Coturnix japonica: one gene and its partners. The protein of the gene in region 1 purifies or fractionates together with the protein of each later gene. This does not show direct contact. Links are inferred from orthologs where the notes say so. Each region holds a gene or a part of one and is shown on either strand. Other genes may lie near its edges.

Evidence for each region.
Region 2: the proteins of RPA3 (region 1) and TOP3A purify together in Homo sapiens (affinity purification with mass spectrometry; 3 studies listed by BioGRID and IntAct, with this or other methods). This does not show direct contact. The link is inferred for Coturnix japonica from reciprocal best matches to the Homo sapiens genes RPA3 and TOP3A.
Region 3: the proteins of RPA3 (region 1) and ZUP1 purify together in Homo sapiens (affinity purification with western blotting; 3 studies listed by BioGRID, with this or other methods). This does not show direct contact. The link is inferred for Coturnix japonica from reciprocal best matches to the Homo sapiens genes RPA3 and ZUP1.
Region 4: the proteins of RPA3 (region 1) and SMARCAL1 purify together in Homo sapiens (affinity purification with mass spectrometry; 3 studies listed by BioGRID and IntAct, with this or other methods). This does not show direct contact. The link is inferred for Coturnix japonica from reciprocal best matches to the Homo sapiens genes RPA3 and SMARCAL1.
Region 5: the proteins of RPA3 (region 1) and RFWD3 purify together in Homo sapiens (affinity purification with mass spectrometry; 5 studies listed by BioGRID and IntAct, with this or other methods). This does not show direct contact. The link is inferred for Coturnix japonica from reciprocal best matches to the Homo sapiens genes RPA3 and RFWD3.

What each region holds. Positions count from the first base shown.
Region 1 is NC_029517.1:22,630,130-22,633,817, forward strand, and holds RPA3 (replication protein A 14 kDa subunit), read right to left. Parts: upstream 2,539-3,688; 5' UTR 2,499-2,538; coding exon 2,400-2,498; intron 2,256-2,399; coding exon 2,181-2,255; intron 1,669-2,180; coding exon 1,560-1,668; intron 1,070-1,559; coding exon 990-1,069; 3' UTR 507-989; downstream 1-506. UniProt on the Homo sapiens protein: As part of the heterotrimeric replication protein A complex (RPA/RP-A), binds and stabilizes single-stranded DNA intermediates that form during DNA replication or upon DNA stress.
Region 2 is NC_029529.1:5,110,328-5,113,839, forward strand, and holds part of TOP3A (DNA topoisomerase 3-alpha), read right to left. Parts: intron 3,278-3,512; coding exon 3,169-3,277; intron 2,866-3,168; coding exon 2,722-2,865; intron 2,393-2,721; coding exon 2,222-2,392; intron 1,999-2,221; coding exon 1,898-1,998; intron 1,760-1,897; coding exon 1,685-1,759; intron 1,579-1,684; coding exon 1,496-1,578; intron 1,387-1,495; coding exon 1,179-1,386; intron 1,037-1,178; coding exon 851-1,036; intron 385-850; coding exon 255-384; intron 1-254. UniProt on the Homo sapiens protein: Releases the supercoiling and torsional tension of DNA introduced during the DNA replication and transcription by transiently cleaving and rejoining one strand of the DNA duplex.
Region 3 is NC_029518.1:57,985,312-57,989,482, reverse strand, and holds the start of ZUP1 (zinc finger-containing ubiquitin peptidase 1), read right to left. Parts: upstream 2,808-4,171; 5' UTR 2,736-2,807; coding exon 2,459-2,735; intron 830-2,458; coding exon 713-829; intron 1-712. Other genes in the region: KPNA5 (importin subunit alpha-6), read left to right, coding at 2,960-2,963. UniProt on the Homo sapiens protein: Deubiquitinase with endodeubiquitinase activity that specifically interacts with and cleaves 'Lys-63'-linked long polyubiquitin chains. Shows only weak activity against 'Lys-11' and 'Lys-48'-linked chains.
Region 4 is NC_029522.1:23,407,823-23,411,882, forward strand, and holds the start of SMARCAL1 (SWI/SNF-related matrix-associated actin-dependent regulator of chromatin subfamily A-like protein 1), read left to right. Parts: upstream 1-1,258; 5' UTR 1,259-1,372; exon of another isoform or gene 1,373-1,376; intron 1,377-1,935; 5' UTR 1,936-2,021; coding exon 2,022-2,847; intron 2,848-3,489; coding exon 3,490-3,540; intron 3,541-4,060. UniProt on the Homo sapiens protein: ATP-dependent annealing helicase that binds selectively to fork DNA relative to ssDNA or dsDNA and catalyzes the rewinding of the stably unwound DNA. Rewinds single-stranded DNA bubbles that are stably bound by replication protein A (RPA).
Region 5 is NC_029526.1:771,262-775,228, forward strand, and holds the start of RFWD3 (E3 ubiquitin-protein ligase RFWD3), read left to right. Parts: upstream 1-1,165; 5' UTR 1,166-1,220; intron 1,221-1,563; 5' UTR 1,564-1,785; coding exon 1,786-1,822; intron 1,823-2,993; coding exon 2,994-3,378; intron 3,379-3,967. Other genes in the region: MLKL (mixed lineage kinase domain-like protein), read left to right, coding at 232-488. UniProt on the Homo sapiens protein: E3 ubiquitin-protein ligase required for the repair of DNA interstrand cross-links (ICL) in response to DNA damage. Plays a key role in RPA-mediated DNA damage signaling and repair.

The DNA of each region.
Region 1 (3,688 bases):
TGGTCTCTGTGTCAGGGTGAAGTGCTACAGCCATCTAGTGGTAGAATCCATTTTATTGGGCTCAGATAAACTTAATAAGAACTACTTGCATATGATGTTTTATAGAATGTATATACATGCACAAAATAGATTTTTTTGGTATGGTAGAGTAATTCTGAAGAGTTAAATTCCAATAAAACAAGCACGTAGTTGTTGGCAGTGACACTAAAACACAGCAGCGATAGTACTATGGAACAGAGTATGCTATCATGCCATAGGGACCTTCTTGTCCTGGTACTTCTGCCTTAACATCCACCACGAACGAAGGTTGTGATGCGGGCTTTATGTGTGATTGAGTTACCAAGCCTAATCAGACACTTACATCTCTCAACTGTTTAACATCAGTGCAAAAGGCAAGTACCTTGTGCTCCACTTCGTTAAAATTAAATTACTTAAGTAAAATGGAACAGGAATCATCATGAATCATTATAAATAGCACTTGGTAGATACAATACTACCACAAGTAGTTGAACGTAGTCATAGCTTTTTCTTTATTGGAGAAGTGACCATTATCAAGATACAAAACAAATCTTTCCCCCTCCACGTTCAATTTATATCAAAGCAAAAGAAATTTTAAAATATCTTTACATTAAAACCCCACCAAATATCTTCAGTATGAATTTTGTGTTAAGTATCCATAGGACCTCTGTGGACAATGGAAAAGATGCCTATAAAACTTCAATTTCTAGCAAATCAAATCCTGCAAGAGAGCATTCCTCATGAATGCAGAAGGGTTAAATATATACAGACAGTAAGACAGCCACAGAAATGTTCTGCTTCTTGCTAAGCTAATTCAAACAGAAGTTAGTAAGAAAAGATATTTCATTGGCCACACGTGGCACGTGTAGTAGCATCTTCTTAGTATATTTGTTGGAAACTAATGTAACTCTTACCATGCTGTCAGGCAAGACAGCCAAGGTAATACTGCACAACTGAAGCTCTAAGAAGAATCAATTCCTCCCAGTACCGAAGGGGAAATACTCAGGGAATTCATGAATAATTTTCAGTGCTTCACTGTAGATTTCCAGATCTGAAAGGGGACAAAAATAGAAGAAGCTTAACTTAAATTTCTTACTAGTAAATTGCAGCATTAAAGCACAGCCAATTTCAAAGCAATACAGCTGAGTGTTCTCCTTCCCCTATGTTCCCAGTTTCCCAAGCCTGCCATATTCTCATTGCTTTCTTTCTGAGGGATTATTTTTAGGCCTGCTAACTGGACAATCACACAAAGTCCAGCACCAGACAAGAAGGACAAAGAACTGTGTAACTGGGACAACAATCAGACTTACGGCAATGATCTAGATCAGCTAAGGCCTTGAATCAGCCCCTACAGTTTGGCAGTAAAAAAGTGTATTGAGTATGTAATTTTTCCTGATGCCGTTGTCTCTTTATATACCCCACGCTGTATTAGGCAGCTTGAAGAATGATCATGTCCACAGGAAGGGATAATGCTCTCCTTATTTACTAAATAAATGTTCAGAACACAAAATTAATTTGCCATAACATATACCCTTACTTACCAAATGGACTTTTATCTTCCCTGAACTGGACGTATGACATGCACATGATGGTTGCCTGATTTGTTACTCTTCCCACCACTTCCAGAATTCCTGAGATCTCTTCATCCAGCTGCAGGACACACCAGAAATGAAATTAGCACCAGCAAATTAGCTGCTGTTTCCACTGCGAACACTCAAACTAATTTTTTTGCTTATTCTCAGAAAGTACAGGATGCTTAGAGTGCTTAGAGGGTGATGCGCTGGAACAGGTTGCCCAAGGAGGTTATGGATGCCCCATCCCTGGAGGCATTCAAGGCCAGGCTGGATGTGGCTCTGGGCAGCCTGGTCTGGTGGTTGGCACATAGCAGGGGGTTGGAAATAGATGATTACTGTGATCTTTTCAACCCAGGCCATTCTATGATTCTGTGAAGCATTCTGTTAGGGGCAGGAAAAGGGTCAGTAAAGAGGTGAAGGAAGAAAGTGAAAGGAAAAGTAAGGCAAGACATGCAGTGAAACACAGCACGCTACAAGCAATGAACAGAGTAAGCCGAGGTATCCAAACAGAGATGTATCTGGTGTGGGGGAACGAAACCTGCCTGCACTGCAGCCAAACCTTCCCAACGACACACCGGGGTTACTTACGGGTTCGCTCAGCTCCACCGTGGCGTTGCAGCCTTCTCCATCCGACAGAACGATGAGTTTCCCCGTCGGGTGAATCTACAAGAGAAACGACGCCGTGCGCTCAGCAGCGGCCGAAAGACGAGCGGGCGGACGGGCCCGCAGGGAGACTGCAGCCAGCCCAGGGCAAGGCCGCAGTGTTGGGACCGCCCGGTGCGGGGTGGTGCGGGGCTGGGTACGGACCTTCTCGACGCGGCCCACGAAGCACACGGGCCGCCCGATGTGCTGCGCCAGCTGAGCGGCCCCGATGCGCGGCCGCGGCGCCTCGTGCACATCGCCCATGGCGGCCGCTCCTTCCCGCGCTGCGCCCCGCCGCCTCCCGTTATCCCTGGCAACGGGGATCGCCAATCAGCTCGGCGCTTTGCTATGGCGTCATGGCAGCGCGCCGCGGGCGGCTCTCGAAGCCCGGGGTGGCGGCGGTGTCGTCTCACGGAGCCGGAAGCGGCGGGCGGCGGTGGCTGGTGGGTAACGGGGGAATGAGGGAGGGCCGGGGTTGTGCAGGTTGTGGAGAGGCCGGTGGGAGGTGGCCGAGCCCCGGGGAAGCCGGCAGGGCAGCTCTGCGGCTCTTCCACGTCCTTCTCATTTCCTTTCCCATCCCGCTGTCCCCAGCGCTGTCATCCCCTCAGGGTCGCTCTGCCGCTCATCTCTCAGCTCTTCATTTGATCCTTGTCGCATCAGCGTCTCTTCAGAGCTGCAAAGGAAACGTGGCATGAAGGTGCAGCAGCCCGCTGCAAAGCGCCGCTCCTGGGGCTGTTGTGTCTGGTTGGAGCGTCACCGTGATGCCGTGCCCTGTTGTCAGTAGCGTCACATCTCTGTCATGCTTGGTTGCCACTGCAGGTTTGCTGTGAGGGTTTGCAGAGAAAGAAGTGGGCTCCCCAGTACAAAAAAGACGGGGATCTCTTGGAAAGAGTCCAGCGGAGGGCCACTGAGATGGTGAAGGGCCTGGAGTATCTCCCCTGTGAGGAGAGACTTAGGGAACTGGGTCTATTTAGCCTTGAGAAAAGAAGGCTGAGAGGGGACTTGATCCAGGTTTATAAATACCTGAGGTGTGGGAGCCATAGTGGTGAGGCTGGTCTCTTTTCAGTAGTGCATGGGGACAGGACTAGGGGTAATGGGATGAAAGTACAGCATAGGAAGTTCCGCACAAATGTGTGGAAGAACTTCTTTCCAGTGAGGGTGACGGAGCACTGGAACAGGCTGCCCAGGGAGGTGGTGGAGTCTCCTTCTATGGAGATATTTAAGACCTGCCTGGATGCCTACCTGTGTGATGTGGTGTAGGGAGCCTGCTTTGGCAGGGGGGTTGGACTCGATGATCTCTAGAGGTCCCTTCCAACCCCTACAATTCTGTGATTCTGTGATTTCAGGCAATTAGGTATTGCATCTGGTGAAAGCCTGGCTTTCTGTTTTATCTGCTGGTTTCTTCAGTGTTTTGATTGTTACCAGCAGCCTGGCCAGGCCTGGTTCACCCCTGC
Region 2 (3,512 bases), on another chromosome or scaffold:
GATGTGCCCTGGACCCTAAACTTCACATCCCCTTGGGTAATGGAGAGACAGTACAGTCTTGTTAGTTTCACTGGATGCTGCCCACAGGTTTCTACTATCTCTCTGCTCTGTATATTTAAGTGACTTCTCATCTGAAGTGATGTTCTGAGAATCCCCTACTCTGTGGGCTGGAAAGAACTAGTACTAGGGAAGTTGAGGAGATGCTTATGAGCAAAGCTCTCTCAAGAGTGAAAGGCCACACTGCCAATACTGACCAATGCCATGTTTCTCCATGAGTGCAATGAGATCCGCTTCCGTGAGGAGCAATGGAGGGCTGGTTTCCCCATCCACCATCTCCACTGTAGTGGGCTGAAAGCGAGACCCTTTCTGATACAGTGGGATAACCTGAAGGGAAGGAGAATCTCTTTGAAACTGTCTTCTGGACCATCCACTGAAAACAGCTGTCACACTACCAGCAAGTTGGTGCAGTAATATAGCAGCACTCTGTTCTGGAGGAGACTGAGTCTTGGGATGCTCAGGATTAGCCAGTAAAAACCTGCCAGAGACACCACACAACAGCAACTGCAGCTCATCTTGGTGAGTATCCCTCCCCACGTGGAAGCAGCCCTGTATGGTCTCTGCTGCGGTGTCAGAAAGGGAAGAATCTATCCAAAGCTGGCATAATTAAGTGGCACTAGTGTTCAGCAGAGAGAGTTCTAAGTGAAATAGCCAGTGTGTTAAGAATTGTCAAAGGACATTCTCTAGATGGGCCTGAAAGTGGCAGGGAAGCTTTCCCATTAGTACAACCCATCTGCAGTTTTAAAGTCCAGGTATTTTAGGCAGTCCCATCTACACTGTTCAAGGATGTTACCTTGTCACTCCACTTCTCATAAGGATAAACCTCCAGATAATTTCGGGCCAGGATCATAAGTCCTTGAGCAATGAATCGCTCGTTAGCAATGTCAATCTCCACAGTTGTTTCCTGTCCCTTGGCATCTTGAGAGCAGCAAGCCAAAAAATGGCGCACAATGAATTCATATAGTCTCTGTTCGTTGCCCTGTTATCAAACAGTAAGAGTTACTCTCTTCTAGTATTAGCAAGATATTAAGAAATATTAGTGAATCTCAGGTGCGGATACTGTGCTAACAACTATATTATAGTATTTCTGTCTTTATTTTATCAAGCAATACTAAACTTACCTGCAGGTTAGCGGTGTATTTTGTGGGGTGAATGGGAGGGTGAGCCTGGTCTGATTTGGTTCCATTCCGAGGGTTCGGCCCACCCTGATCCAAGATCCTCTGTGCAAATGCTCCCCAGTTGGGGTCCTGTGTTTGTTGTTGTATTAAGGCAGAGAGGTTCAGCTCCTTGGGGAAAATGTTGGTCTCTGTTCGGGGATAGCTAATAAACCTTAAGAAAGACAGAAGGGAACTTCAAGAGGTGCTTGAGGATGATTTGGACTAACAGTCACATATTTTTGAAATAATTAAGTTTACCAAGACAAAGCTTGTTTCCTTACCCTTGAGTATAGAGTTTTTCTGCTATTCTCATGGTTTCCTTTGCATTTATTTTCAGTTTACGGGAAGCCAACTTTTCAAGTTCCTGTGTTGGGAAGAGACAGAAAAAAATGTATTTGTGAACTATTCTGAGTAAAATAACTGTTTAAAGCTTATTTTAATTAATCTTATAATATATAGTTCTAACATACCACAGTGTCCAGGGGCAGGGGTCTCCATTTGCTCTTTGGCTTGCTTCCAACCTCAACAACAGTGGCAACAGGATCCTAAATAGAGAGTAATCAAAATACAAGATTTCCTCGAAGATTTCACACAGACAGTTCTTTAAACATCTTGAACAAGAAGGATGCAGGACATGTTTGGCTGATATTAGATCATACGTCTTTTTTTACAAGTTTTCCTACCTCCATACACATGTGGTAAAGAACCAGGCACGCTGTGTGATTAAAGAGCCGGTTCCTCTTCCAGTTGAAGACCACATTGCCATCTTCGTGATCATGTGTCACTGTGTTGAAAACCAGATCAGAGTTATACAGTAGTAATATAGTTGAAAACCAGCAGAGGCAATGGGACCATGCTACTAGGAAACCTTTCCACTTTCTGCTTAATGATAATGGCAAGGGAAATCACTTCTGCAGCATTGTTTGTTAGTTGCCCTGAAGTTTTTCCTCTCCAAATACATTAAACCCTTTAAAATGGATTACTGCGCTTGTTTTCCTCCAGCATACCTTTGATTTTATAGAAGGCTTCAGGGACAAAGGCCTGGATGGCTTTAAAGCGCTCAACTACGAACCCCAGAGTTGGGAACTGGCAACTGCCGTAACTGATCAGCTGATCTGCTAAAACCTCAGGGAAAATCTTCCGGAGCCTCAGGGTCTGGAATCTGGTGAAAGCAGCACCTGAGAAAACAAAATGGATGCTAGAACTGAATAGTTCAGCATTAATTAATTAATTAATTAATCAGCATCAGCTGATTAATCATAGGTTCAGGCTGTGATTACCAATTTCCCATACACTGAGAAGTGAGGAAGTCTGATAGCTAGCTGTCTAGTTTCTAAAGCAATCTAAGAGTTCAAGTGTTTATAGAAAATAAGCTACATGTTGATGACAGACTGTAAGCTGTCTGTCCCCTGCCTTTTTACCACACTCTTGCTCACTTGCTTTCAAGGGTATATGCAGCAGCTCAGGCCTAGCAACCAGCTCTCATCTCCAAAGCATGTTTACTTACCTATCCTGAGGTCCAGCTCCTGCCTGACTTCAACAGCATCACTAGTTTTTTGATCTGGTTGGGTGAGATTCTCACAGGCCCTTCTGACAGCATGAAGTGTAATCTCTGAAAAACGTGCTCGGAATACCTGGAGGTTTGGCTTTACTATCAGACAAAAAAAATAATAACCAGAATGACTCATACAGCAATGGAAAGCATGAACTAATATACTGCTGCTGTCTTTAAAAGTGTGTGCTGTCAACATATTTTGTATCTTTCCAATGTATTAATGTATTTCTGGTGTATCAGAGCCATGTATTTATCGTAACTACAGCCAGAAGATTTGACCTGGACATGTAAGAATGACAACTGAGTAAGGATGATATCTGTTACTAGATCTGAGCAGTGATACCTGTTAAATCATCATTTTAATGGAAAACAGATTGATGCAACAGATGCTCTACACACCAGCTTTGCAGACATGAATGATCTCAAAACCGATGTTCTCTCCTTCTCGATCGCAGTCAGTCCAGATGACCAGAGCTTGGCATTGCTGGACCTCTCGTTCAAGGGTTCTCTGAGACAGAAAAAACTCTGAATGAGACCTACTCAAGCCACTTGGTCTGACATTTAGTTTTAGAATGACTCACTAACTGAACACGAAATGCAACATGTATCCATAGCAATGAATTGTTGCAATAACATTTTGCAATGGTAACTCTCGGGAGATTAGACAGCTTTCAAAAGAAATGAATCATTTATTTACTCTCTGTTAAAAAGCACTGCTTGGGTTGGATTGTACCACAGTCTGC
Region 3 (4,171 bases), on another chromosome or scaffold:
ACTCTATTAAGACCAAATTCACAACTTAGAGAATGCATATGCAATCACAAATGCAACTGCTTGGCAAATAATGCAAGCATAGCTCTACTACTAAGCGAACATCTTTTTGGTTACTACGCTTTACGTAATTATTAGTAAGAAATCCTAGATTTTTGAATAACACAGACCTATCAGTTTCTCAGATACCTGCTAGTAATCTCAGAGCGACAAAAAGAAACTTGGGATCAAAGAGCTGGATAGTGAATATCCAGCATTTTATTAGCCATACAAAAAAAAAAAAAACAAAAAGCAAACTTATTTTGATTCCTTTACCTTATCATTATGACCCTGAACATTTACAGAAAAGAACCAAGAAAAAAATCAGTAGTTTTCAAAAGACTGTTTTGAACTCTTCACATGGGAACGTGCTACTAGATTCTGCAAAGACAATTATTTTATAGAGCTAGAGGATGTAACAGGAATATCCAAGTTTTAGTTTTACCTAACATCTAATGCATTTACTGAACAAGCGTGCATAGAAAGACACTTCTCATAGCACATGTAATTAAGCAAAGCACAAGGGCAAGTGATAGAACTTGCATTTAATTTTGTTACAAATCTATTTAGTTCTCTTTTTAAATAAAGAAATATTTAGTTTAAATGTTGTACAAGGTTATATACTGCAACATGTAAGTGTTTCCAAAGATTATCAAGCTTGCATCCTTCCAAGTACCTTCCGGAAAGCTGTGCTCCTCTAAGTGTAAATCCACATGTTCCTCGAGAATTTGAATGTTTGTACAGGTAAGACCACATATTGGACATTCATAAAGCTGTTCAATGCTCTCTGTATCTGTAAAAGAAATACAGCTTCTTGCTTAATGCAATTCCTGTTTATTCTTTTCTGCTGTGTGTTTTTGTAAGAATCATCCCCCAGTAGCTCAAGAAAAACAAAGAGAATTGTGCTAGTACTGAAATTCCCCAGTGGAAGGCAACACATGTTAATAGCTATTGCTCTCTTAGCCATTTATGAATTCATATTTAAATACCTGAAAAGTTTGAAGATATATTTCCCCTCTTCCTATTCAGCAAAATTTTCCCAACTTAACTTACCACAGCTTGCTATAATATTTTTTATTAAGGAAGGCCTACAAAATGCCAATCAAATATCAAACCTTTAATGAAAAGATATGTCCTGCTGATGGAAGAACAGTTGCTTACGAAATCTTAAGTCTTGTATGACAATACAGCAGTCAGCAAGCAGAAAAGAAACTACAATGCTGTCATTTTTTATTAACCTTCCTTTGTTTCCTCAGCTATTTCTACTGCACTTTTAGTGTTACTACTAAGAGTAGCTAAGATTCAGAAGATCACCTGGAGATCACCAGGACCGTCAAGCCACGGTCACGTCAAACAGGCACAGGGCCTTTTCCAGTCACTTTCCTGAGGATGGAAACACCACAAAGTTCTCATTGCAGTGTTTGACAAGACTCACAGCAACAGCTTTCTTAAGTTTCAGTGGTAGTTCCTCATTTCACTTGCTGCCTGCAGTGCTGTCACTGCACACTACAAAGACAAACCCAACTTAACCTTCAGTGCCCTCTCTTTGAGTCATGTAGCTTCAGAATCCAACTCGTTTTGAGTTGGAAGGTGCCTTTAAAAGCTATCTAGTCAAACTGCCCTGTGAGGAACATAGACAACTACAACTCGATCAGGGTACTCAGCCATATCCAGCCTGACCTTGTGTGTCTCCAGGGATAGAGCTTCCACCACCTCTCTGGGCAACTCGTGCCAGTGCTTCACTGCCCTTATTGAAAAAACTTCCTAACACCTACAATAAATCCCTCCTCTTTTAGTTTGAAACCATTTCCCCGTCCTATCCCCACAGACCCCGTGGTGAGGAGACAGCTCCTTCCTTCTTACAGTTCTCCTTTCGATACTGAAAGGCCGCTCTCTGGTCTCTCCCCAGAATCTTTTGTTCTCCAGGCTGAACAGCCCCAGCTCTCTCAGCCTGTCCTTATAAGAGATGCGTTCCATTCCTTGGATCATTTTTGTGGCCCTCCTGATGCACTCCATCAGGTCCGTGTCTCTCCAGCAGAATATGAAGAATAACATCAGAACATACCTCGCCGTCACAGAATCACAGAATGACCCGGGTTGGAAGGGACCTCAAGGATCATGTAGTTCCAACCCCCCTGCCTGGCAGGGCCACCAAACATACACCTTTACTAGATCAGGTTGCCCAGGGCCCCGTCCAACCTGGCCTTGAACACCTCCAAGGACGGGGCATCCACAACTTCCCTGGGCAGCCTGTTCCAGGGCCTAACCACTCTCCTAGTGAAGAACTTCCCCCTAACATCCAACTTAAATCTTCGTCGATTACAGCGTCACATTCTGCATTCTTAACATCATTCCTTTTCCCTGCCAGCACAGCCAACGCGTTACACCGGCAATACCACGCCGTAGGGGAACCACCACCCACCTGCGCCGAGCAGCCGCCCGTGCCTGGCCCTGACGTGCTCCTCCAGCTGTCCCCCCGCCGCCTCCCCGCAGAATGGGCACCCGATCTCGGGGCTGCGGGCGCGGGGCTGTGGCTCCGTGTGTGCGGCCTCCACGTGCCGGCGCAGCTCCTCGTAGCCTGTGGCGGAGGCGCTGCAGAGCGGGCAGCGAGGCTGTTTGTCCGGGTGGGCGCGATTCGCGTGACGCCGCGCCGCCGCTTCTGAGGGCAGCAGCCGCCCGCAGATATTGCACACCGACATGGCGGCCCGACGCTCCGCTCGGAAGCCGCATCCCCTTGCCGGGGCGGCGGAGGCAACGCCCGCCTGTCGCCGCCGCGCGGGGCCTGCTGGGAGCGGCGAGGCCCGCCCGTGGGCAGTGCGGCGCGGGGCGGAGTGGCGGCGGCCATCTTGCGGTCCGGCTGGGGGCCGAGCGCCGCGGGCTCCTCTCGCCTTGGGGGCGGCGGGCGCGGCGCGTCCCGGCTGCGATGGGTAAGAGCCGGTGGGTCGGAGGGGACCCCGCGTTCAGTGCCCCGTGCTGCGTGACCGAGCTTCTGCCTGCCCGGGGGCGCTGGGCTATGGCGGGGCGTTGCCGCGCGCGGTGCTGGGACTGTCCCGCAGCAACGGGACGGAGCCCCTCAGTCAGGGGCTGCCTTCATCCCGCCGCCGGCAAGAGCGCTTCCCCGTCGTCTTTTCGAGGGGCGCAGGCGAGAAGCGTCGGTAGTTGAGCCCGGGGCCGGGTGTCCTCCGGCCGGGCATCTGGCTGGATCTGACGCGGCTTCCCGGCCCTCCGGGCACTGAGGGGTGGCGATGCTGCGGGGCACAACAGGTGGGCGGCATGCAGGATGTGGCTGCCGCAGGGATCAGTGTAACACAGGCATAGCTGGGCGTAGCAGAAATGTGGTCTGGATACAGTCGTGGTGGTTGAGTAGATAAAGCACCTCTTCGCTCTACCCTTCTGGTTCATGTTCCAAAGCTGTTGTGGGACAGGGGCCGAAGCTATGGTTTCGATAGCTTTTCTTTTTGAGGAGAGCTTCCTTTTGCTTGATCTCTTGCATAGAACTTGTGTAACTTTGATGTTACTTTTAATGCAGTCTTCTCATCTTTGGTTTCTTGCTTGGCCTGGCAGGTGTACTGGCCCAAATCATTCCTCAAGGCGTGTGTGATTAAGAAGGTGATGATGTTTGAGGACTAGTTAAGCCACAAGTGTTGCTAGACAGAATGCTCTTCTTTTTAAATTGCACTTTTGAAGTTCTGTGAATTAGAAGACAACTTCATACCGCATCTCATGCAGCTCTGTGCCCAGAAATGGCAACAGTCCGTAAAGGTTCTCATGAAGCAGTTGTGTTTGGGTGAAACAGGTTGTTGAGCCCTTAGAGTGTCCTGCTGGTGCCAGCCTAACAGCAGGGTCTGGTTGCTTCTTACAGCCTGTGTTTGTTACTCAGCAGGCCTTGATACTGCTGATATTAAACAAAATGTGAAAATAAATATCTCAGCACGGAAGTTGGCAAAGAACTGTGCCTGTGGGTCAGATTGCCTTATGCATGTTTTCTTGTTGTGAAAGAATTCTAAACAACTGAGTTTGCTTGAAGTCTCGAATCACAGTTTTGAAAGTTGCTTCTCTGAATGAAGGTGACAGTTTTAGCTTTGAATATTAGCACTGGGCTGTTCACAACCTTGTTCAGTCAGTTTTGATCATT
Region 4 (4,060 bases), on another chromosome or scaffold:
AGAAGGTGGAGCATCCAAGGGCCATCAGTGTGGGCTGAGGCTTGCATTTCCAATCATCTCCTGGATGGTCTTGATGCACATAGTGACTCTGCACGTGGTTCACCAAGATCCATAGACACTGCAGGATGCAGATGTACGGCTCTACTCACGCAGGGAACTGTGACAGTGTGTTGGAAAAGAGGTGAAGTGGACGCATTCAACATGAGATATCAACTGGGGTGTGCTGACCCACCGACCCTCCCAGGATTTTCTTACTGCATCTCTGTACTCTGATTTGGTGTGTAGAGGGTAAGTCCAAGCCACTGCTGGAAGTATGTTCAGACTGAAAGGACACCTGGAGTGCTACCAGCAAACTGCTCACAAATGGCCTCTTGCTTTGTAGCTCTGTTCCCTGCATGGTTGGTCTGTTCTTTGTGCCTTGCTGAAGTTGTGCCATATGGAGCAAGTGCTTCAACGTCTGTCTGGGTGTCTGCCTGACCGTGAGACCCAAGAGCTCTTCTCCTCTCTGCAAAACAACTCTCTAATTGTTCACATGAGTTGGGGACAGTCCTATGGGTGCTCATAGGGCTGCATGTCAGGTCACACCTTGCTTTCACTGCCTGCCTTGTTTTTCTCAAGCTGACGAGCTCCTGACTAATGACAGTCACCGCTGCTTAATCAAGAAGCAATTTAAGGATAACCTTTTTTAATTAACCAGCAGAGAGGATGAATAAATAAACTGCAAAACAACCAGCTGGCTGCACCACCCCCAGCTGAGGGGCCTGTGATAGAAAATGGCATTTGGGGATGGGGCAGATGGCTCCAGAGCTGCCACTGGACAGGATGGTCACAGTATGAGATAGGGATAAGGAAATGGGGCTCCCCAGGGCTGTTTCTTTGCCTTTATCCCCTAGTACTGCCCTGCCAACATAAAGTAAAGGTGAATCCCAGCTGTCCAGGAAGATCAACTTGATGTGTATAATTACAACTAATGGAAGCGCTTTTTTTTTTTCCAGAACTTTAATAAAAACGTGAATAATTACAGTATTATGAAGGCAGCAGCATAGCTTTTCATAATGCATTACTACTGTTTGTAACTGAGCACCAGAGGACAAAACCTCAGCCCACAGCTTACAATGGAAGCCCCATAGCTTACAACGGAAACGCCATAGCTTACAATGGAAGCCTCACAGCTGAATCTACTTCCGCCCCCACCCGCCCCGATTCCCTTAGAGTCCCTAAAATGGCGCCGCGCGGGGAAGACTCAATTTCCCAGTGCGCCGCGCGCCTCTCAGACAGCTTGGCGTCATCGGGCGGCAGAGCGGGGGCTGATGGGTATTGTAGTCTGCGGTGTTGCGCGCCTTGTGGCGGCCGGGCTGGCCTCTGCCCGCTGGTGGGTACGCGGGGGTTTGGGGAGGGTCGGTGAGGGCTGAGCCCATAGCGGGTTGCAGCGGGGCAGTGGTAGGGCGTGGGGGCCTGGTCGGCGGCGTGGTGCCTCTGTGGGCAGCGGGGGTAGGAAGTGTGTTGGGTGTGGGGTGGCTCGTGGGCCTTGAAGTTCCCTATCCCGTAGGGTTGGGGCAGGGATGGAACGTAACCTCTGGGAGGGGGGTGGGGACGAGAGGAGCGAGCCTGGCTTTGTACGGTTAGTTTAGTGCATCTCTGAGTGTTGGAGGAGGTGGGCAGCCTCTCACACGTGAGGCCAAGGAGCAGGTGGAGAAGGGAGGTGTGGTGGGGGCCAGCTGCTTGTTTTCTGTAAGCTCTAAACAAGCACAGCAGTGAGAGGGGCTTTCTCTAGGGAGGAGCTGACACTCACCTCTGTGTGTGTCTCTTATGTGCTGTGAGATGCCTGAGGACTGAAAAGTTGTTAGGAATCGATGACTGATAGTAATGTGTTGTCAGTACGTTGAGCTTGTTGCTGGGGGCAAATTTGAAACTTCCTGCTGCTTTATTTTTTAGGCTGCCCTCCGTTCCTACCAAGAAACGGGTGCTTCTGAGATGAAATAACTGATGTACTGACTCAGGTTTGTTTTGAACTGGTGAAGATGTCATCTGGCCTTACGGAGGAGCAAAAGAGAAGAATTGAAGAGAACCGCCAGAAGGCTTTGGCTAGGAGAGCTGAGAGGCTAGCAGCCCAGCGGGGTGGGCAGCTGGGGATCAATGGGCCTCGGGTAAAAGAACAGAATCCAGACAATCGAGGAAGCTTGAAGCAAGAAAACAATCATGTCAGGTTCATTAGCCTGCCCCAACAGAATCCAGACAGTCCTGTGGAGCAGAAGAGCTATCTTCGGAAAGATTATAATCATTACACTGCGAACCAACAGATGGCTGGTTCACAGGGAGAGCAACAAAAGAATTGTTCAGAGGACTCAAAGCAAACAAGTGGCAATAAGCAGTTCCCTACACCGATCCCAAATTCTCTGAGTTATTCCCATCAACGTTACTCAGATGGACAACATGGACAACAAGCTTTAATTAATCCTGGTACATTCCAACAGCCCAAGTGCTACCCAGCTTCCAAAAACCCTACAGGAACATCTCTCCCTAATTTAACTGGTAACTGTAACGCTGATGGTATTAAAGTTGTTTCATCACCAAGCAGCGCCACTCTGAGTGCTTCAGAAATGGTGATAAATACAAACAGATCAACAGACAGACAAGGTGGAAGTGGTGCCTTTCGGGCCAGTGGTAAGATGCAGAAGCTGACCAGCCCTGCTGTTGCAGACTCTATCAAAGCTGCCTCTTGCAAGAAAGCAAATAACGTTACAAAAGGAAAATGTGTGAAATACGGGGAAGACCGTTTCCAGGTTGAAATAGGGTATAATGCTGACCTGGTTGCTTTGTTTAAGACAATACCAACCAGAAGCTATGGTAAGAATTGATTGATAGCTGTTTTCTCTGTGCTCTGTTTGATTGTAGTTTCAGTATATGCTGGAATTGTAGAAGCATTATGCTTTTAGCGGGGGAGTTAATGTTGGGATCAAATATATAGGATGGTATTAATGGAGTGCTGGAAAAGTCAAGGCAGCTGAAATTGAAAAGAAATTCTGAGCATAAAATTTTGATTTTGGATTTAGCCAAGAAATCAGGAGTTATATGAACAGTGCTTGAAGAAGTTTAGTGTTGGGAGCTGGTCAGTGTTTTGGGAATGAAGGAAGTTATTACTGAATAAGTATGGGAAAATAGGCCACTTCCGAGTTGACGGGCTGAGTATTAACTGTGTTATTGCAAGTAGTGGAGTTTGCAAGTTGCTGATCTTCTTTCCATGCCTTTATTTCTTGTATTCTCTTTTTGTTTCCCCACATATATTGATGCTCCCTGTGAATGACTGTTCCATCCTCATTGCCTTAGCATTAATGTGCCCTATGGCTTTATTTGGTGCCATGTAGCTGTAAGCCTGAGCATTCTGTCTTTCAGATCTCTATCGAGAAATCTGCATGTATAAAATGGCATAAATGTTTAACAGCACCACTTTTTTCTACCCCATATAACTCATATTCTGCCCTATTTTAGATCCTACTACGAAAAAATGGAGTTTCAGCCTGGAACATTACAGCAGTTTCAGTAAGTAAATGGATTGCTGAGTGATAAGAAAGGCACTTAAGACTTAAGATCACCACTGTAACCTTTCTCTGTGATTTTACTTCGTTATTGTCTGGAGTAATAAAAAAAGATGGTGCTACTCAAACATAATGCCCACCTTTTAGGCTTCTGGCTCATATTATTTTTTGACATTTTGTAGTATATTAGAAATACGATTTTTTTGATGCAATCTAAATGCCTGGCTTAGATTTAACTTTTTCTGCAGTTGCTGAATTGCTTAGGAATCAACAAGCCTGATTATAGCGGATTCTGTATTGACGACTGGTTATTGGCTAATACTTGATTTATAGATCTGTTGAAGTACGTTCTTTTTAAACTTTTCTTTACTGTTTTTCCTATTAATTTTGGGTGTCGGGAAAGGAAAAAGTCTAATTTTCTAAAGCTCTGAGTGAGGCTGAAAGTGAACTACCAAGGATGGTTTTTATCTTTTTCTGTACTGTCATTTTGTTCTGCAAAGATTGAGGGATGACAGGTGAACGAG
Region 5 (3,967 bases), on another chromosome or scaffold:
CTGCACATGGTTAAACCACAAGAATGCAAGAAAGGTTGTCTCTATTTGTTGTTCCCATGCAGTGAAGCATTAAGGCATCCTGTTTCGATGAGGCCTAGTGGTGTCACAGCAAAGACGGGGCAGTTTATTACAGACATAGCTTGCGTGGCCCCTCTGCTGGCTCCTCCATGGAGGAGGCTGCGGGATGGCTTTGGTGGGTTCCATATCTTCTAATGTCCGTGTTCCATTTAGGCTGCTCTCTCCAGGAGATCAGGGACAAAATCTGTGACCGGCAGTTCCAGGACCCAGTCGGGGAAGATTGTCCTGAAGAGATGGAGAAAATCATCAACCAGTGTCGGGCCTTCGATCCGTTCCAGCGCCCGTCTGCTGAGCGTGAGTGTCCTGAAGGCATTCCCCACATGTCAGACACCTCCGTGGTGAATCTGTGCCTTGTTTGCCATCGGATTTTGCCCAGTTTTGTCTCTTTGGATCCCCCCTTGTCCTGCTGACACCGCCAGGCCTCCTAAGAGCTGGTTTCCTTCTGTCTCCTCATAGAGACCATTCACACAACAGCGTTTATCCTCACCACACAGCCTGCTCTGCTCTGTTCAGGCTAACACTGACCTTACCTTCCACAGAGATCGTGGACCTGCTGGCTGACCTGGAGAAGAGGAGGTATCAGGGCATCTAGCTGCAGAGAGCCTCAGCAGGCCGCCCAGACTGGCCTCCCTGCCTTAAATATATGTTTAAATATATGTTTATTTGTTTAACTAAGACTGGAAGATCTCTGAGTAGCGGCTGCTTCGCGTCCTTCGAGGCCCGCGGGTGAGGCCTAAAGGCCTCTAGGCCCCGTTGCCACAGCAACCCCGATTTGAATCCCCTCCCGCTCCCGCTTACTTCGTCCCGGCGGCGCCTCCCCCAATCAAAACGCACTTCCTGTCTCTTGGTCCCCGCCCTTTCCGTCCCTCGAGGATCTCACCGTCCAATCAGACGGGCAGCTCTATCTCGACTGACCAATCAGAGCACGCCTCACTTCACTCTCAAGTCCGTTCAGTCTCCTCCTCCCCAGTCCGTTCTCTGGGGCAGACTGACTGAGCGCTCGGCCAATGAAAATCCCCATAGCTTTCGGCTCACCCAATAGAAGCGTCAGCAGTGGGAGCGTCGGGCCAATAGGGCTGAGGGGGCGGGGCGGCGCGCTGCTCGAGCGGCGCTGGCGGGCGGCAGCTGTGGGCCGCGGTGAGGTGGGTCCGGTCCGGTCCGGTCCGGTCCTCGTCTCTCTCTTCCCTTCTCGTGGTTCCGTTGACCGCGGCGGAGCTGCCGCCCGTACCGAGCCCTGCGGGAGCTGCCGGGACGGTGCGGGGGGAGGCCGGGGGGCGGCGGGTGCAGCGCGGAGCGGCTCCCCCGGGGCTCGGCCTGGGGCTGCCATGGAAGGCCCGGCTGGGCACAGCGCTGCGCTGTGTGGGTAGCGGCCCATGTTGGATCCCTGTGGGAGGAACCTCCTTAACCCCCCAGCACGGCTCCGCTTGCTCCGAGTCTGGCCACGTACCGATGGTTTCTTTGGGTTCTGTTGCTCCCCCCATACAGGTGCAGCAGCCGGATGGAGGTGCGGAGCTGTGCTGCTCTCGGAGTCCTGTCCGTCCGCCAGGGGAAGCTGCTGCTCCAGCGCTGCTGCTGCCCCGATCCCTCGGACCTCGAGACCTTCTGCCCGCCCCCCACACGCACGGACGGGCGGTGCCGTGCACGCGGCTCTCGGGGGAGCCGCTGACTTTTGCCCTTCCAGGAAGGCACCAAAGTGTCACGGTGAAAATGTCAACGTTAACATCTTCCCGAAGAAATACTTGGGGTTTGCTATCCGTGCTTTAGGGCTTCCAGTGTGAGGAAAATAAGGGTTTGCATGTGGCAGCCTTAACACAAACCTGAGTTCAGTGCAGCAGGACTGCCTTAACTCTATCTGTGACTGGTCAGATGGGAGATGGGGCTTGGTGTCCTTTCTGGCCTAGTTTAAGCTGAAATATTGGTTATGAGGAAATCCTCTTTTCCCAAGGAGCACTGAGGCAGTGGCACAGCTGCCAAGAGAAGGGGGGAATCGCCATCCCTGGAGCGGTGGGGTTGTGGCACTAAGGGACATGGGCATGGGGGGGGTGCAGTGGGACTTGGATGTCTGAGAAGTCTGTTCTAACTTTAGTGATTCTAATGGTAATTAAAGTAGTGTTATAAAGTGATTAGTAAGAGTTTGTTAAAAGATATATCAAAAGTTGTTAGTATAACCACCTCTTGTGGATCTTGTGTACGTTCTCTGGTTATTCTTTGTAGCAAAACACCCTTGTTTGTTCACACAGCGCCTACCTTGAGAAGTTTTGGTGCGCACTTTGGGCTCTCAAATAATGTTGAAGGTCTGCTGTCCCCAAAGCCAAAGCCTTTCAGATTTGTGATTGCCAAAACACGTGGGAGGCAAATGATCAGCAGCAGATTGCAGAACTTAATCTGCTCTCTCCTCCCCCAAATTGTTTGCTTTGATTTGTTTAGTTCATGAAATAATCTAAGCTTTTCTGTGTTGCAAGACTGCCTGCCTGCAAAGGATTGGATGCTCTACAGAGCTCATTTCTATTTGTATTTGTCACTGTTTCTGCAGTGGTTTTGCCATGGAGAATTTCTAAGATATCTTCAAACTTTCCTCCAAGATCCAAAGGCATTTACTGGAAAGTAATAGAACAAGAATTACTGAACTTTCCATGCTCATCCAAAGGTTTACCTAACAGGATTTGCAGTGTGTCTTTGGTGCCAGCTACTGCTGAGCTAAAGGCTTCAGACAAAGAACTCAGGAAGGTGCCAGCTCACATACATGTATCTACTTGAGACAGTCTCTCTGTGCTGTATGTCAAAGGCAAAATGGCAACTTGTCTCTAGTCTGAATGTTGAAGGCTTTTGAGTGCTGCAGCCAGTTTCTGCTGCCATCAGGCCACTAGTGGGGCGCAGGCTTGTGAATGCTCATAGCTTTCTTTTGTTTTTGACAGAAATGGCTCAGGAAGAGATGGAAGTTGATCTCCAACCAGTGGTGAACTACTCCCTAGAGAACCAGGGGACGCTTTCTGCAGAGCCCGCTGCTCACACGGCACTGTCCTCTCAGGTTGCAGCGCTCAGCAGCGGAGGAGGCAGCCCTATCGTTCTTTCTGACGATGAAGTTGTTGTCGTATCGACTGCTGATGCCGCAAGGGAAGCAGCTGCTGATCCTGACCAGCAGGCGAATCCTCCCTCAGCTCTCATCGGACTGCTGAGGCTGCAGGGGGCGTCTGACCAGCACCAGCTGCTGCCTGGGCCTCAGGTTGTGCTGCGTCTGCGAGTACGAAGGGCTCGCAGGCAGCCAAGAGTCGGTGGTTCCCAGAGGACAGTCAGTGCCAGGTAAAGCAGAAGTGAAGCTGTGTTTGAGCTGTGCCCTTACCAGTTCTCATACTGGTTTAAGACTGCCTCGATGCCTGGCTTGTAGAACCTGGCTTGGTCCAGGTGTGTGACTGTGGTCAAATTCCGAGCACCTCAAAAACCTCTTAAGCTCACTAATGACTCTTTGATTTCATCTGATGATGTCTTTGCTTTTTGTTAAATGAACCCGCCCTTCTCAGTTCTTCTGTTGGCAGCGTTGTTGTTGACTGGAGCACGTTACCTTGCTCTGCCAGATTCCTGTTGGTGCTTCCTGCAGCAGATCTGGCTCTCAGCAGTCCCAGCCAGCATTTAGCTCAGTGGAGCTTGCACTCTCTTCTGCGTTTCACCTTTGATTTGAGGACTGCCTAATTAGGTGACAGTTGCTGCAGAAACTTTTGTAAAGAAATGCAAACTGACATTTATCATCTTTTTTCCTCTGTAGATTTTTGTAATCTCCAAGCAAAGTGAAAATTCTGTGTTTAGGGCTGTTAGGGATGAGTTTAAAAGGTGATAAGTGGGCACGCTCCCCAACTAGAAAAAGAATCCTATTTCTGGTTTGTTTGGTTTCTGT